Schizosaccharomyces pombe: one gene and its partner. The gene in region 1 interacts genetically with each later gene. Each region holds a gene or a part of one and is shown in the gene's direction. Other genes may lie near its edges.

Region 1 (6,962 bases):
AAATAGAATTCATAAGAAAAAATGGAGGAAGGGTGTCTTTATGATGTCCGCTAGCATTAAAGAGCATTTTTTTATTCAAGGATCGTATTCATATAACTGGAAGGCTATGTTAAGCATTTTTTTAATGCCTTTGTATGATTATTGTTACCTGATTTATGTTTACGTTATCTATGCGTGGTGTCACTAATTTGCAGTATATGTTCATGTGAGACGCACATTCGATAATTTACCATTAACGTGCAAGTTACATTTATTGAAAGTAGGTAATTTGCATTCTAATGGGTGGTCTCGTTGTTTTACTTGTCGGCCTTTTGACGGCCTTAATGAGTGTAGTTTCTTACTATGTCTCGCCCAAGGGAAATAATACTAGGTAAGAAGTTTGCTACTGATTGGAGTGAATCATCTATATATCGAGGTATAGCAATTATGTTCCCATTTAAAGTCTTGTGTTATGATCAGTAGCTTGTTTTTACTTCGTTTCATTTTCGTTTAGAGATATGGAAAAGTATATGTGATTGTCTTTCTTGCAACCAATCAAGGTAGCGCTGTTTAGGCCTTGTCTTCAGCTGCACATGGACAATCTGGAATTGGGATCAGTTGCTTGTATTATATTTTCATACTCCTTCCTTTAACAAAAGTTTTATTAACTCTCAATTAGTACTTGGCAGATGTCATTAATTCTTACTTTTTCTTGTTGCTATTTATTATGGTTAGTGCATTTGTGGTGTTCTTATGCATCCATATTGTTTTTCTTTTTTACTAACATCGTTCTTAGGGCAATTACTTATTTAGCACAGTTGCATCCATTAGAGGCTCCATCTCGAGTTCTTGAGTAATGAAGTTTAGTATAATCATAGTGATTTTTAATGTTTGTACATTCTTCCTCTTTTATTTTACTTATCGTTTAGACTGCAAGCTTTCCAATTAGAATCTACTTTTGAACCTTTTCCTCTTCCTATTTTTTGATACTATTCGTTTCTGATCGTCGGGCTCAACTTTCTAGTCTCTAAAATCCTATTGGTGTTTGTCGATTATTATTACAAATCAAACACGTTTGAGTATTTCTTATTTTTATAATCCATATCTTTAAACGTTTCTTATTTTAATATATATATGGAGTCAGTTAAGTCATGGCTGGAACCTGGCGTTATTTAAAGGTCGGTTCACGTGGATTTCAACATTGCATTTAATCTTTGCGAAAGGATATACCTTCATTATTTCTTTTCTTTGATTTTACTAGATTTATTGGTCTCCCCGTCTTTTGGTTGTCGCTTTTTCTTTTACTCGGATGTGTGTATGAAAGGCGACGTATATTTACGTTATCAAAAGCCTTGCTACAAATATACTGAATCATATAGAAATACAATAAAAAATTGAAATAATAGACACAACAGGATATTCAAAAGTTTTTTTGGTGCCAAAAACTCTAAGATGTTGTAAGTTTAGTTTAATATTTGGACTGAAGTTCATGATAGTAGTGGCGCTCCTAATACGCAATTTTAGTTGACTAAAAAAAATATTTGAGATAGAGAAAGTCTGAATTGTTATTAAAGGTCTACTGGCTTCATAAACACAAGTTCGCGACTATTCAACATTGTTCCACTATAGCACATAGACATTTGCACACACTGATAGTTAAGAAATACATTTTACAGTGTGATTTTGAACGGATTGGTTTCTTGAAAAGATAGGAAGACTGAAAAAATAAAGATTCGTATATAAAAAAAGCGAAAAACTTACACTAGTGATGTTGAATGCGATATAATTTTCTGTTATGAAGAAAAAAGGGTTGAACTTACCAAATTTACGCATTTACTAGATTTTTCGTGTATTATACCTTTTTAAAATGAAACAAGAATATATTCCGCTAGACGAATTCCCAAACAAGTCTAATGAAGGGATGCTGAATGATGAAGGTACCTCTTCTTCTGGCTTATCGACAAGAACGCGTAGCTTAGAGCTTTTTGACAATATGGAAGAAAGTGGCTCCTTTCCAAAAGTGGAAAGGAAAATACAATCGCTTTTGGATGAGCTGGCTGAAGTGTTGTTTCAATCTAAACAGCCCAACGACTTGACCAGGATTCGAAAAGCCATCGCTGAGCAGTTGCAGTTATGGTGTCAAGCTTGTCAAGAAAACGCTGATTTATATAGGAGCCAGCAAAGGAAATTGAAGAGCCGTTGGGACTCGCAGACAGACATTTTATCCCAAATTGAATCGACCAAAGCAAGTCTGGCAGAGGTGCACAAAGCGGAAGAAATATCGAATCTAAAGACAAGCATTACACATTTAGATGAGGAAATTCAAATTTTGCAGGAAAAGTTGGCGATTGTAACGAACCAACGAAACACCCTTGTAAAACGACTCCAGACTTATGATAATCTAGAAAAGAAAAAGGCACTCAGTATGGAAGATCGCCTTTTAACTCTGCAGGAGCAGTATGATGCACATGCTAATGTATCTTCCCTTGAAAAACGGATGGAAGTATTGAAGAAAAGAGAAGATCTTTTGCGACTAATGGTCGGGCAAGCACTTCCAGGAATGCAATTCTTCCAACGTTTGATCCATCAAATCCAAGCTGTCGAAACAAAACTAATCTCAATACTGGGGCCTACTTCTTTATCAGAAGCTGCTTTGCCTCCATTAACTGACGTTCAGCGCACTAGTGTATTATCACTCTTGACCTCGACTCTTCACTCTTTGGAGTCGGCGAGACAGATTGCTGACTCCAATACATGGAAGCCAATCATTGTTTGTTTAGAGCTCGAAATTGTATATTTTGAGAATATGCTTACTGCGATAACCTCGACTCCCGTTTCTTCCTAATAATTTAATTTTCATTCCGTATACTATCAATACAACCTTCTAATATTAAAATATGGTCATTCAATGGCACAATGCATTCCTTGGCGTGTTGACCGACAGCCTTACTACTTTTACCCTGCACGGCTTCAAGATACCTGTTAATTGTGGAGAAATATATATTTCATACATGATTTTACCTCCAGATTTTCAGCCTCATCTAGCACCACATCGTTAAAATCGTATATAATATTTATTTCAGCTGTATTTTCGGCATGATATTTATTTAATAACACCAACTTTGATCATCTTTGATTTGTCTTCTCAAACTCTCTTCTACACAACAAATGACAAAATGTTAAAGTAATGCGAGTCGAGTTCATTAGTGATTCAATTCAAATATGCTATTGAATGCCTATTTCCATACTTAAACTGTCAATCTCCTACCCAAATCAAACACTGTCATAATAAACATCCCTGAATCTAAAGCTACCTTAATAATCTTTGTTTTGTCTTGTTCAACCATCAACCTACTACAAACGAAACAGTTTTCAAAAAGTAACACCATTTTAGTTTTCAAACAATTCTACGCTAATACCACGTACATTCACTTTCGGTTCACATAACCGATTCTGTCAAACATCCTCAGAATGTCGTTTTCCATTTCGAACCCATTCTTTCAGTTTTCCATTTCCATTCAATACGACACAGTCGTATGAAGATGGATTCTAGCTTATTTGCAAAATGTCACGGAACCAAGAAATCCGATTTTGAACAAACGACATTGCGGCTCCTTGTTCGTCGCAATCCTCCGTTTGAGTGAAATTCATCGAAATCACTTCTAAAGCTACGCTGTCTTATTTTTGCCGCACTCGGACTTTGACATCACTCTTAAAAATCATCGAGCAATAGAATTGTTGATCAAACGGCTTGCCACGCACTTTGTCTGCTGGTGGTATGAGACGCTAGTGAAGTTAACTATTACAGCAAACATCGTTCACCTACATATATATTGAATTGAAAGCCCGCGTTGCCGATGGGCAAAACGAATGAAACAAGAATCTTCCAATAGCGAAATTTAGACATCATATCGCAAATATTACTTTTAACTGCGTAGTTTAAAATTCAGGATCGAGCTTATCTGCAAAAGAAAAGAAAGGGAGATCATTGTTCTACGCTTATTATCATAGCATTCCCCGATTGCTACTGACCTTATCAAAACTATTCTTGCAAATCCCATTCTCTTTTCGCTTCGTTTTTGTCCATACAGTGGAGTTTGGGAATTTTTAAAATCTTTTCGTTTTTTTTACGGCTTACAAGATTTAAAATTTCTCATTCATACACTTGATTACTTATTTTATTGTTTCGTTTTTGTGTGTGTATTTTGTTTCTACTTGTCGTTACTCCTGTCATTTTCGTTTGATTAATTAAAAAAAAAGATATAAAGGCTAATCTTTTCTTATCTCTGAATTGGAAAGGATTTCTGCAAACTATTCAAGCCACCGTCTGCAATTATTATCGTTATCTTGCCATTGGTGTGTCAGTAAAGTGAAGCAGATTGTCAAAATATTTGATTTACTAAATATATTATAACTGTTTCAGGTAAATTATCTTATTGCTTGAGTAGTCAAATTAAGGATACTGAGATTTCTATATAGGAATTCCTTCATATATCCATCTGATAGCCATTGCGCAATTGATTTGTAATTCCTTGCAAACAGACATTGTTGTATGTTTGTATAACTGAAAACAGATCTTTGTCGCTATATAGTGTTCTCCATTTATCCTACAAAAAAGGCTTACAAGTGTCAGTACTTGATTGACTTTTCGAGTTTTATTTGGCCTTGATAATTAGTATTTCGCGGCTCGTTTAGAACTTTGCTTGTGTTGCCCAAAAGTTATTATAAACTTTCATTTGTTATTTAAATTCGTTTATTCTTCCAATTAAAGCTTGTCCAGTTTACAAAGCAAAGCCTGTTAAACACTATCGAGATTCAAAAGTATACCTAGTGTTCAACCGCTTTTTCTTTGTGTTTGTTATAAATTTCTGTATCTTGTGCTTTTGTTTACATTCTTGTCGGTTTCTACCTTTCATCATGACTCCAGTTTCCTCCGATTATCGGCCTAATCACATTTTCCTACCCAAATTTCGTCCTGATAAAATTACTTCTGAATGTAATACGCCCCAGCAACAGAATGTTATTGCTGAAGGTTTATACAATGTTAGCGAACCATTTCCCATTCGCAATACAGATGAAGAACGTTATCTAGATACCAAAGAGATTCACCATACATGGGATAATACGATTAAAAATGTTGTTCGAAGTATCGTTTCCATTAAAGGCTCCGCATTACGCTCTTTTGATACTGAAAGCGCCGGTAGTTTTTGCGCAACTGGCTTTGTCGTGAATAAAACACTTGGTCTTATCTTATCCAACAGACACGTTGTTTCTCCAGGACCCATTTCAGCTCGTGCCTCTTTCATAAACTATGAAGAAATTGATATTTATCCCATCTACAGAGATCCTGTTCATGACTTTGGCTTCTTTCGTTATGATCCATCTTCCATTCGATTCCACGATGTCACTGAAATTTCACTTTCCCCTGAATCAGCCAAGGTAGGTATAGATATTCGAATTATTGGTAACGATGCTGGTGAAAAATTGTCTATTTTAAGCTCCACTTTGGCTCGTCTTGATCGTCCAGCTCCAAACTACGGAATTGACAACTACAACGATTTTAATACATTTTATTATCAGGCAGCTAGTGGAACTAGTGGAGGCAGCTCTGGCAGTCCTGTTCTTGACATCTCTGGTGCCGCCGTTGCTTTAAACTCGGGAGGATCCAACAGCAGTGCCTCTTCTTTTTATCTTCCTCTGGACCGGGTTGTTCGAGCTTTGCGATGTATTGAGAACAATACTCCTATTACTCGTGGTACTCTTCTTACCGAGTTTTTACATTGGTCATACGACGAACTCAGTCGCATTGGCCTTCCAAGGGAATTTGAATACGATTGTAGAACCCGTGTTCCTAGTAGTACTGGTCTTTTGGTTGTTTCGCGAGTTCTCAGAAATTCTGAAGTCTCTAAGGCTTTGGAACCTGGCGATATATTAATTGCTTTCAAAACAGACTCTCATAAGTCTACATACATTGTTGATTTTGTCTCTTTATTCGAAGTTTTAGATGAAATGGTCGGTAAAACGATTGAGCTGCATGTTTATCGTCCTAAACGTGGTTTTTTAACGTTTCAACTGACTGTACAAGACTTGCATAACGTAACGCCTTCACGCTTCTTGGAAGTCGGAGGCGCGGTGCTTCACGATTTGTCTTATCAGCTTGCTCGTTCATACCAATTTTCTTTAAATTCTGGTACATATGTGGCTTCTTCTGGTATGCTCAATTGGTCCTCTGGAACCCGCGATTTTTTAGTTACCAGACTTGCCAATAAACCCACTCCAACTTTGGATGCTTTCATTGATGTTTTGGTCCAGTTGACGGATAATGCCAGAGTGCCTATGCACTTTAGAGTCCTTGGTAAATATGAAGAAGAATTCACGATAGTGACAGTTGATAGACACTTTTTCCTGGCTAGCATCTTTTCAAGGAATGATGAAAAAGGGACATGGGACAGACAAAGTCTCCCTCCTCCTCAGCCGTCTATTTCTCGCCGACCTAGTGTAATTCCGAGACCACAAGAGGGATCCAAAAGTATGGAAGCGATTCAAAATGCATTGGTTCTGGTTCATTGTCGAATGCCATATAGCATCAACGGATTCAGCTCTACTAAGCTATACAGTGGTACCGGAGTAATTGTTTCTGTAGTGCCACCATTAATAGTTGTCGATCGTTCTGTTATACCTGTTGATATTTGCGATATTCGCTTGACCTTCCAGTCGATGAGCGCCATGGGTCATTTAACTTTTTTGGACAATAGAATTGCTGTAGTCTCGTGCGATTACTTGCCCAGTAACTCTGTGCAACTTAACTTCGTCGCTGATTTCCTGCGGACAGGAGATGAATGCACGCTGGCTGCTCTCGACGAAGATTTGCAATTGCTGACAAAGAAAACAACAGTGCGAAGTGTATCTGTTGTTGAAACAGAACGCTCTTCTCCACCTAGATTCCGGTACGTAAATTGCGAAGTCATTTCTTTAATGGATTC
Region 2 (9,716 bases), 1.8 Mb from region 1:
GATGCTTCCAAGGGCCTTTGAAACAGCATTCTGGTTTTCAACAAATACATATGCATAGTTAGTGGGGTTTACGTTTTGAGGAGCTTGGGGACTTTTGTAACGATTGAGTGAAGTACGAATTTGAATATTCGTAATCAGGCTGTCTGTCCCGTCCTTAAAGTAAGAACGGGCTTCCTCTTCAGAATTGCAAGGGGTAATATGAAATCCACAACGTTCATAACGCTGCTCACCACTATATTGACGGAATTCACGATCGTTGCCCTTCTGCATATCAGTTCTTCTACCTTCTTGTGCTTGAGATCTTGTAACATTTGCAGCATTCTCTTGTTCAAGTATGGTAACCTCTGTAGTCGTCTCACCTAGCTCGAGATTTCCAGTACCCTTAGTCACCTCTTCAACGTCAACTTCCTCTTTCCCTCCAATTGCTGGTTGTTCTTCTTCATTAGGACTAGGCTTCTCTGCTACGCCAGAAATGGGTTCTTCCTCGGCAGCAGGTGGTCCCGACTTCTCTTCGATTACTTCATGAGTCTCAGCCGACTCTTCTGTAGTATTCGCTCTTGACATTCCTAGCTCATCAGTATGTTCCTGATCGTACCCTTCAATCTGTTCTTCTTCGGTTGGTGTAGCCGTAGCTTCTCTGTTCTTGGTAAACTGTGCTTGAGATTCCACCAACCTATTGTTAGCGTAATAATAGGTACCGGTATTTTCCGAAGTTGAGCGTGGAATGTGAGATGCATAATTTTCGTTACGACGTGAAGCCATGCGACGATAGCCTAAATTAAAGCCATGAGATTTGCTTTCCACTTGAACATGCCCATTTTCGACGACAAAAACAGTCCATCCAAAGGAAGCATCTAATAAATTGAAGTTCCATAGGTTTTTAAAAGCAGTGCCGGGAAGCATGTTATTCATAGCATATGAGTTAGTTGCATCGGGCATGCGAGAGACTAGGCGAACAACATTGTTTATTAGATGATGTTGTTCAGGGGTAACCATCTTCTCAACCTCAGCCTTAACAGTGTCATACACTTCCATAAACTGTGCACGGGCAGCCGAAAGTTTTTGAAGATAATGTTCAGGACTATGATTTACGCAAAACTCATTGTAGCTAGCTCCATAACGAAAATGAAGACCGGCGGATAAAGTCAGGTCAGCCTGGCAAGCAGTAGCTAATTGAGAAAGAACACCTTCTCTTCCAATGGGATGATGCGTAATAAAAATACGTGCCTCCTCTCTGTCAAGCAGGCTCTTAGCGGTTTCTATTAGTTCACCCATTTGAAGGATTGTAGTCCACATAGTACCCTGGCCACCAGCAATAGTTCCTTTACCGTCTCCATTGTCAAAAAGCTTAAAAGGGACATAAGGACCTCCAAGACCAAGTAAACGGATTTTCATATCTCCAATTTGCAATAGGTAGGAATGAAGTTCGTCCACTATGTTAAGGTTTGGAATAGAATATTCTCCAGAACGAAATTTTTCCAAAACGTGCACATCTTCGCAAGCTCCCCATACTACATATACAGGGACTGAGAATTTCTTCTCTTGTGACAAAAATTGAGGTAATTCTGAAAGCAGGCAATCGGGGTGAGAAGCAATACTATTCTTCAAATCCCCAATTGGATTCGAGGGATAATAATCAAAGTTTTTGGACCTAGGAAGCTTTTTTATGAGAGGCGAGAATTGGACAATGTGACGAAGAGTACTGAAAAAAGGTTAGAACAAAGAAAAATGAAACATAAAAATTTTTGACACAAAACATACCGTTCAGATATGCTAGGAAGTGAGGATCGCTCAAAAAATCCAAAGTCACCAGTGTGGATGACACAGGAGGCATTGGTTTCCTCAACCAGGCTATTTATTAAACTCAGTTCACCTGAAGGGATAGTTATTAGTAAAAACGCGTATTAAAGAGTAGTAATTTTAAGGATAGGAATAGCTAAGGAGAATAAAGTGTATGGACAAAATTCTTTTACGAACCAACGAGGATCTTTAATGACAAAATGAGTAAATTGAGCAATTGCGCTTCAACTCCTGCTAAGCCATTATGGATAAGTTCATGCAAAAGCATACAAATTCGCATCTTCTTATCTTAAAAAGTAAAACGATCGTCGATAATTCCCCCGATGGGGTGCTTTTGAATTCTCGCTGGCAGCTCTAAATCCATAAACAACGCATACTTACCTCGAACATCGGCAATACATAAGATCCTGGATTTATTATCCAATGTGAGTACTTGAGCTGAAACATCCAACGTGGAATTATTCTCGGAATCTGAGTACGTTTTAGAGGATTTATTTTCCAGCGTCCCAGTTGAAGGTTCCGCTTGAATATCACTTTTAGCCGTCTTTTATGTAATTAGTTTAAAATTTTTGCAAAGATTCATTAGATCTATACTTACATCCACGCTCATTATATCGTAAAAATCTAATGAAACGGATAAAACAGTAAATGGTGTTGAGTAAGGGTTTTGTGATGATGCCTCAGTTTCGGCACTGTACTACTTCCTACTACAATAAGAGAATGTTGCTTCGTAATGTTATAACTTAGATCCACCACAAACGAAGTAAAGTAAATTAAATATATAAATACACAAAAAGCAGCAGTTAATAGATAGTTTTTGAAATTTTTAACGTGACAATTGTATTTCTGTAGTATAAAACTCCACAAAAAATAAAAATAAAAATAAAATTTAGTATATATTAATATATATATTTATATATAAATATGAAAAAAAAAGGTGCTTCAATGAAGGATTACAAAATTCTTGAGAAAGCTCGGTAATCGGGACGGCAGAGTTTATTAGGGTATATGTTAAATGTTGCAGCTTTGGAATGGAATTGTTAACTTATTTTACACATACTATGACTTAAGTTTGCCTCGTGTACAGTAGATGATGCTACAGTCTGAAGTATATTTCAATTTCGTTATATCGTTTTTCCAGGTTGAGATTTGAATACTAGTTGCAGTGCGAAATTTACAACATTTGAAGTATGTAAATGTTCTGTTTATTTGGCAAATTGAATAAAATAAGACTGTTAGCAATTTTTTCGGTTTTTTTCTATGTACAACAATACTCTTTTGTGTTATTAAATAATGCTCGTTTACTATAACTTAAACTCGTTTGTACGCTGTATTCTTACTACTAAGTATTGTCAAGATTTGGAAGCAAGGGCATCGCCCCATCAACTAGGTCATATAGTATTCGCGTGCTTCAAGTAGCACAGCAGCACATTCCCACCACCGAGTGGAATTCGAAGTTGTGTGCAGTGGTATAAATTTTGGAGAAGTGTAAGTTGTATATAATTCAAGAATGAAGAGATTTATGTAATGATTGATACAATCGGAGCTGTCGATGCATACATTCTATTAAATGACGGATGGACGAATTGTTTACATGGCTATTTGTTAGACATTCTTGTCTATGGCTGTTGCAAGTTCTTCATTTTTCTTAGATTCTCTTCCTCAAATACTTGTTGCATCTTGTTTATTCGTTTGCGTTCCGAATTTGCTAATTTTACATTCAAGAATATCGCGGCAACTGTTAGTCTGCCTAAATATTGTTTTAATTTCATTTTCTGCGTTTTCAATTACTTTTATATTTAAAAAGGTTTAACAATTACTGAATTGAGTGGTTATTTGGGAAGCCGTGTTCGAACAGCGTTCAAAATTGATGTCAGCCTTAGACCGTTGTTGATTGCGAATCAAAATGGATTGGGTTGCATTGTCGAAAAGCTGTAAAACTCATTTGTTAGATGAAGGCCTTGACGTGTCTTCAATACATTGTTTTGATCAGTATTTGATAGTAGGCCAATGTTCCGGCCAAGTCATGGTATTTGACGTTTCTACAGACAATCATTTCACTTTGATCCAAACATTTATAGCACACAAACATTCCGTTTCTTCTATAGTTTGCCTTCCATTTGAAGCTGATGGAATTGTAGACCTATCAATCATTACACTCGACGAATCTGGGTATGTTGAGCAACTCTCATTAGCCGAGCAGCAATTATCAAATTCATTATTTAACTTATTTCTTGCTAACATTTTCTCAGATTACTTTGTCAATGGCTACTGAAAACATGTGACCGACGAGCTACTTTGCAATTGTGTGACGGGCTATGTTTAAAGCTATTTAGATTAAATAACAACTTTCTTGCTGTTACCGGAACCTTTTTGAAAATATATCTCATTAGAATCTCCAACTTTCAGATAGTTGCGACTTGGACTGGTCATGAGGACTGGCCTATTTTGTTTCCGTTCAAAGACGAAGCTTTATTAATCCCTGTCGCCTATTCAGATGGATCTGTATCTCTTTGGTCAGTTGATTGGTCAGCTCTTACTTTTAAAAGAAATTCAGTTACAAAAGCAGATGTTAAACCAACTTTTGGTAAGGTTATTGATGTTGTACCAGCAGATTGCATTTCTTCCAATTATGCGCTATATGTATACTCGGATGCGGTAGTACTATTGGAATCGCATGAGAAATTTATAGCTTCATATTCACTTGCAGAGATAACATCTGTATTTGTTTTGGCTGATGGCACGGCTTGTATTTTTACTCTTTCGTCTTCAACTTTACTCAAACTTCATCAATCTCCTGAACCTCATTTCGAATTAATTTCTAAGTATTCTGGAGATTTTCCATGGAAATCGTGCACCATTTTAAAAAGTAAACCCGTTAGTTTGTGTGTTTATCCCGAAAAAATAACTTTCAATTGGTTAACAGAAGGAACCGTAGACTCATGCAATCTTTGTAAGTTGAGCAATACAGCTGCTGTTTCCTACGCTTATACGGACTCTCTTAATTTATTCCTTGGAACAACCTCTGGTTTAGTGATGTTTTCTTTGTTTGACTGGTACCTTCACAATGATCCAGCTCCTCTTTACTCTTTTACAAGGGTTTCTGGAATTGTAACATATATGAAAATATTTGAAACTGAACATTCACGCTCAATTTTAGTTGTTGCTACCAAAACTGGAAAGGCTTACTTTTATCAACAACTTCAGGGTGAAAGATGGAGATTTCTCTGCGAGCGTGCTTTGCAATCTTCTTCAATTACTAAAATTATTCATGCAAAGAAATCATTATCTTCTGGTTCATCAGGCTTATTTATTTTTATGAGTTTAGATGGCTCATTGTGTGCCTTGGATGAATCTTATAATCTGTAAGTTATCAGTGTGTTATCAGTTATTAATCGACTTTTATAGTCTAAGCTACTTGCCATCTGATGGTGCTCAAGTTGAAACTTTGTACTCATTTCCCGATTTAGATCAAATCTATGTTGCTTATGACAATTTTCAACTATTAAATTGGGACGTTGTGGATCAAAAATGTTCTGAAGGAAATTATTCAGATATTATTGACTCTTCGTTCATATCTATTGGTACTTTTGATAAATCTAACCTCCCTACTTTGTATCATGGTTCTTGTGCTTTACTCACCGATAATTTGGTTACTGTTTTTTTAGACGCTCATGATTTAGTACTGAACCTCAATTTTTCTAATGAAAATTACATAGAAAAAACGTATATTGACGAGTTCCTTGACTTTATCCAACCTCCTTTCCTAAACTCTGATATAGAGATGGAGCATCAGTTGTTAGGTACTGTTTTTGATCAATCCAGTTTGCATCTTGGTGTGGGTAAGCCAGATGGAAATGCCATACTTCGATTTGACACCGAAATGAAGTCAATAATAAATACTGCACCAAATTGTTCCGCTTTGCTGTTATATCTATATTTTTCTCTAATGGTTCCTTTATGTAAATATGATGGGCTGAGCGATACCAAATTGACTGAAGGAATATTATTAAAGTTAAAAGACCTGAAAACGGTTGATTACAGTATTTCCGTTCTTTCATACGTCTGGAATAATTCAGGCAAGGTTATGCAGGGTATAATTAAATCAATGTTGTCGAGAACATTGGAACTTATATCTCCAGAGGAACTTCAGAGGCTTATATATTATTATTTTGAGTTTTTTACGACTACAGGTGGAGAGTACTATCTGAAAAAGGAGGTGCAACATTCACTGTACATCTTGTCATTAATTGTCAGTTTACGGCCTTCAGCATTTGATGTTTCACAATTGAAATTTTTGTCTTCCTATTTATTACAAAAATCCGAAAGTATGGACTATGACTTAACAGCAATTCGCCTGTTGAGTAATGGTTTTTCCGTGTTTTCAAAACATATTGATCCTGCAAAGTTTATATACAACCTGGTTTTGTCATCCTTAGAGAATACTAAGGATTTGGATGATAAAAATAGCATTCTCTATAGATCAATAGTGGATGTCTCAGTTTCGAATGCTGTTTTACTGCTTACATGTTTATGCGATGAAGTTTATGAGCAAATGAAATCAAATTTACGTTCCGTTATACTAAAAGTTGTGTCTTTGGCAATTGAAAACACACAATCCGAATTTTCTTTATTTAATCAATTGATCACGGAAAAATTACTTCCAATCCTTTACTCTAGCCGCTCGGTTGAAGAAGTTCACGACGTTACTAACGCAATTGCAACCCAATTTCCATTTGCATGTTTTGATAGTAAGGTGGAAAAATATTCCTACATTGACGATGGTGATCTTGTGGTTTATGAAATAGCTAAAAGAAGGAAAGTCGTCAGCAAGGAAAACGCCGAATGTGATATTCAGGTATTGTCCGCCAGTCCTTCTGGTGACTATTTTGTTGGAGTCAGTGCTACGCAAAAGGAATGCATTATTTGGAAATACAGCCAAGATTTCGTAAAATTCTTGAACTTATCAACACCTTCATTAACGATCCGAAAACGTATATTATTACAAACTAACAAAACGAATGAGGTTGAAATTCCTGAAGTCCTATGGATTAGCCAGTCATCAGCAGAAGTCCATATTGGGAGCACCTTTGCTATCATTGACTTGTAGGTGGATTATGAATAAATTTTATCCATGCCACTAAATAGACGAGCCAATTTTTGTATTGGAAGTGGGAAAAACCTCAGTAGAGGCATAAAACGTGCGTAAAATGGATAGTAAAAACGACCCGATTTGTTTGTATATAAGTTTTGAATAATAATTTTTGCTAAGTTTTGAGGTTCTAGTAGAGGGGCTAATACTCTGTTTGGGGTATCTTTTTCGAACATTGTAGATTTAATTTGCCCTAAAACATAAAGAGAAAACTTGAAGTTGGGATGCTGTGATAAAACCTCTTCCTCTAATGTTTCATGTAGCGAAACTAGTGCCGCTTTTGAAGATGAATAGGCACCTGTTAATCACGTTAGAAAGGAAAAGCAAATTTTATAAAATCAACCCCACTTACCGACTCCCATCGCACTAAAATAAGCCAAGGAGGATGCTATGTTGACCACATGAGGATTTGGATCTTGTAAAAGGAGAGGAAATAATGCAGATGTAATTGCCAGCTGTCCGATCACATTTGTTTCAAAGCATCTAAATTAAGCAGTTAGAAAATAAGGCTTACTACGCTTAACCTGTACTTACTTTTGTAATTCTTGTCTTGATATAGACAGCAAATGATTTTTTGGAGCAATAGCTGCAGCATTGATCAGAGCAAAAGGGGTCCTGTTCATCTTTTTCAAAGAATGGACACATCCTTCTACGTCCTTATCTTTGGTAATATTACATTTCAAAGCACTAAATTTAGAATTGTACTGTAGAAAAGATGCAGGCTCAGTACTGTCCAAAGAGGCGACGCTGAAGCCTCTATCCAACGCCTCTTGAATAATAGCATGACCAAGAATCCCACTTCCTCCTGTTATCACAATCAGTCCTTTAGCACATGAATAGGATTGTTTCCTGAAAAGTAGAGGAAACCAAGAAAGGGTTAAGGCAGCACAAACAAGCGAAATCACCAATAATAATATATGATTCAACATCAGGGAATGACTTCTGTGAAAAATATGATAAGTTGCTGAATGGAAACTTGGCAGAAAGTCGTTAACATTAGCAGCGAACTCTTTTGTGTTTCGAATAAGTTAACGTCCAAGTTCTGATCGTCTAAAGACCCTAATATCGTATTTGACGAAGTCAAGGAGAGAACCTTAGTAGATGCTGCCAAACAAAAGCTATTTCCTAGTGTAAGCAAAAATCACGCGTAGTAGAATAATTCATTAAATCGTTGAACACTGCTTTTATAAACTTATATAATAAAGTTTTGATCAGTATCGCCAATGTTGTATTGAACTTGTTAACTAAATTATTCAATCCGTACTACGAAAAATGGAATGCCCATCCTGATCTTAACTTGATTAGTCTTATAGAGTCAAAGATAAGTGATGGTTTTTTTTTTAAAATATTACGCCTATCATAAAAAGAAGCATTAAAAAATGCGATTAAGAATTGCGTCTTCAATTTCCTTATATATTGAAACATAGTACACACTATACCTTCCCTTCATCTTCGACTAGTTGTTTTTAAAATATTTGAAAGTTTGAGCGTGCTCAGTTTTCTATGTTGCATATAGATCAAAGGAACATATGTATGTTAGTAAATATCATTGCATTCAACTATGCTATTAATTAATGTTTATTAAATGATCCCAACGCATGTTGATGTTGTATTTTGCATTTGGTAACCCGCAGTTGGAATTTTCAGGCATCTACGTACAAAGTAAATAAAGTGCAAAAGGGTCAGCTCATTAGTTTTACGGGTCCTCAATTCGATGTTGCAGATTTTACAAGTTTTTAAAATGTATTTCATTATTACTTTTTATATGCCTAATAAAAAAGCCATAGTTTAATCTATAGATAACTTTTTTTCCAGTGCACTAACGGACGTTACATTCCCATACAAAACTGCGTAGTTAAAGCTAAGGAAAAGTTAATATCATGTTAATTAAATACGCTATTTACAATAAGACATTGAACTCATTTATATCGTTGAATATGAATAACCAATTTCAGCGAATTTTTAACAAACATCGTTCACCTCGTTTAAGGATATCTTGTGTATGGGGTGTTGACTTGCTTTATCGAATAATTACCGTACCTGTAATTGGCTTGCTGGATATAGCGGTAGTCTAATATCTAGCAAAAATCTTTTGGGTGAAAAGGCTTGCAATTTCACGACACCGAACTATTTGTCATTTTTTAATAAGGAAGTTTTCCATAAATTCCTGTAATTCTCGGTTGATCTAATTGAAAAGAGTAGTTTTGCATCACGATGAGGAGGGCTTTTGTAGAAAGAAATACGAACGAAACGAAAATCAGCGTTGCCATCGCTTTGGACAAAGCTCCCTTACCTGAAGAGTCGAATTTTATTGATGAACTTATAACTTCCAAGCATGCAAACCAAAAGGGAGAACAAGTAATCCAAGTAGACACGGGAATTGGATTCTTGGATCACATGTATCATGCACTGGCTAAACATGCAGGCTGGAGCTTACGACTTTACTCAAGAGGTGATTTAATCATCGATGATCATCACACTGCAGAAGATACTGCTATTGCACTTGGTATTGCATTCAAGCAGGCTATGGGTAACTTTGCCGGCGTTAAAAGATTTGGACATGCTTATTGTCCACTTGACGAAGCTCTTTCTAGAAGCGTAGTTGACTTGTCGGGACGGCCCTATGCTGTTATCGATTTGGGATTAAAGCGTGAAAAGGTTGGGGAATTGTCCTGTGAAATGATCCCTCACTTACTATATTCCTTTTCGGTAGCAGCTGGAATTACTTTGCATGTTACCTGCTTATATGGTAGTAATGACCATC

What was found. Genes that interact genetically often act in the same process or in processes that back each other up.
Region 2: mutations in SPOM_SPBC1685.04 (region 1) and wdr7 together harm fitness less than expected from each alone (positive genetic interaction), as found in Schizosaccharomyces pombe (2 studies listed by BioGRID).

What each region holds. Positions count from the first base shown.
Region 1 is NC_003423.3:501,027-507,988, forward strand, and holds SPOM_SPBC1685.04 (uncharacterized protein), read left to right. Parts: upstream 1-1,637; 5' UTR 1,638-1,846; coding exon 1,847-2,824; 3' UTR 2,825-3,167; downstream 3,168-6,962. Other genes in the region: vma9 (V-type ATPase V0 subunit e), read left to right, coding at 279-370, 659-709, 776-836; htr11 (serine protease), read left to right, coding at 4,897-6,962.
Region 2 is NC_003423.3:2,266,767-2,276,482, reverse strand, and holds wdr7 (WDR7-like protein), read left to right. Parts: upstream 1-3,230; 5' UTR 3,231-3,288; intron 3,289-3,525; 5' UTR 3,526-3,706; coding exon 3,707-3,972; intron 3,973-4,052; coding exon 4,053-5,165; exon of another isoform or gene 5,166-5,208; coding exon 5,209-6,910; 3' UTR 6,911-6,915; downstream 6,916-9,716. Other genes in the region: SPOM_SPBC16H5.12C (uncharacterized protein), read right to left, coding at 1-1,702, 1,762-1,873, 2,182-2,344, 2,399-2,410; SPOM_SPBC16H5.14C (DHRS family dehydrogenase), read right to left, coding at 6,916-7,250, 7,305-7,435, 7,487-7,881; imidazoleglycerol-phosphate dehydratase His5, read left to right, coding at 9,167-9,716.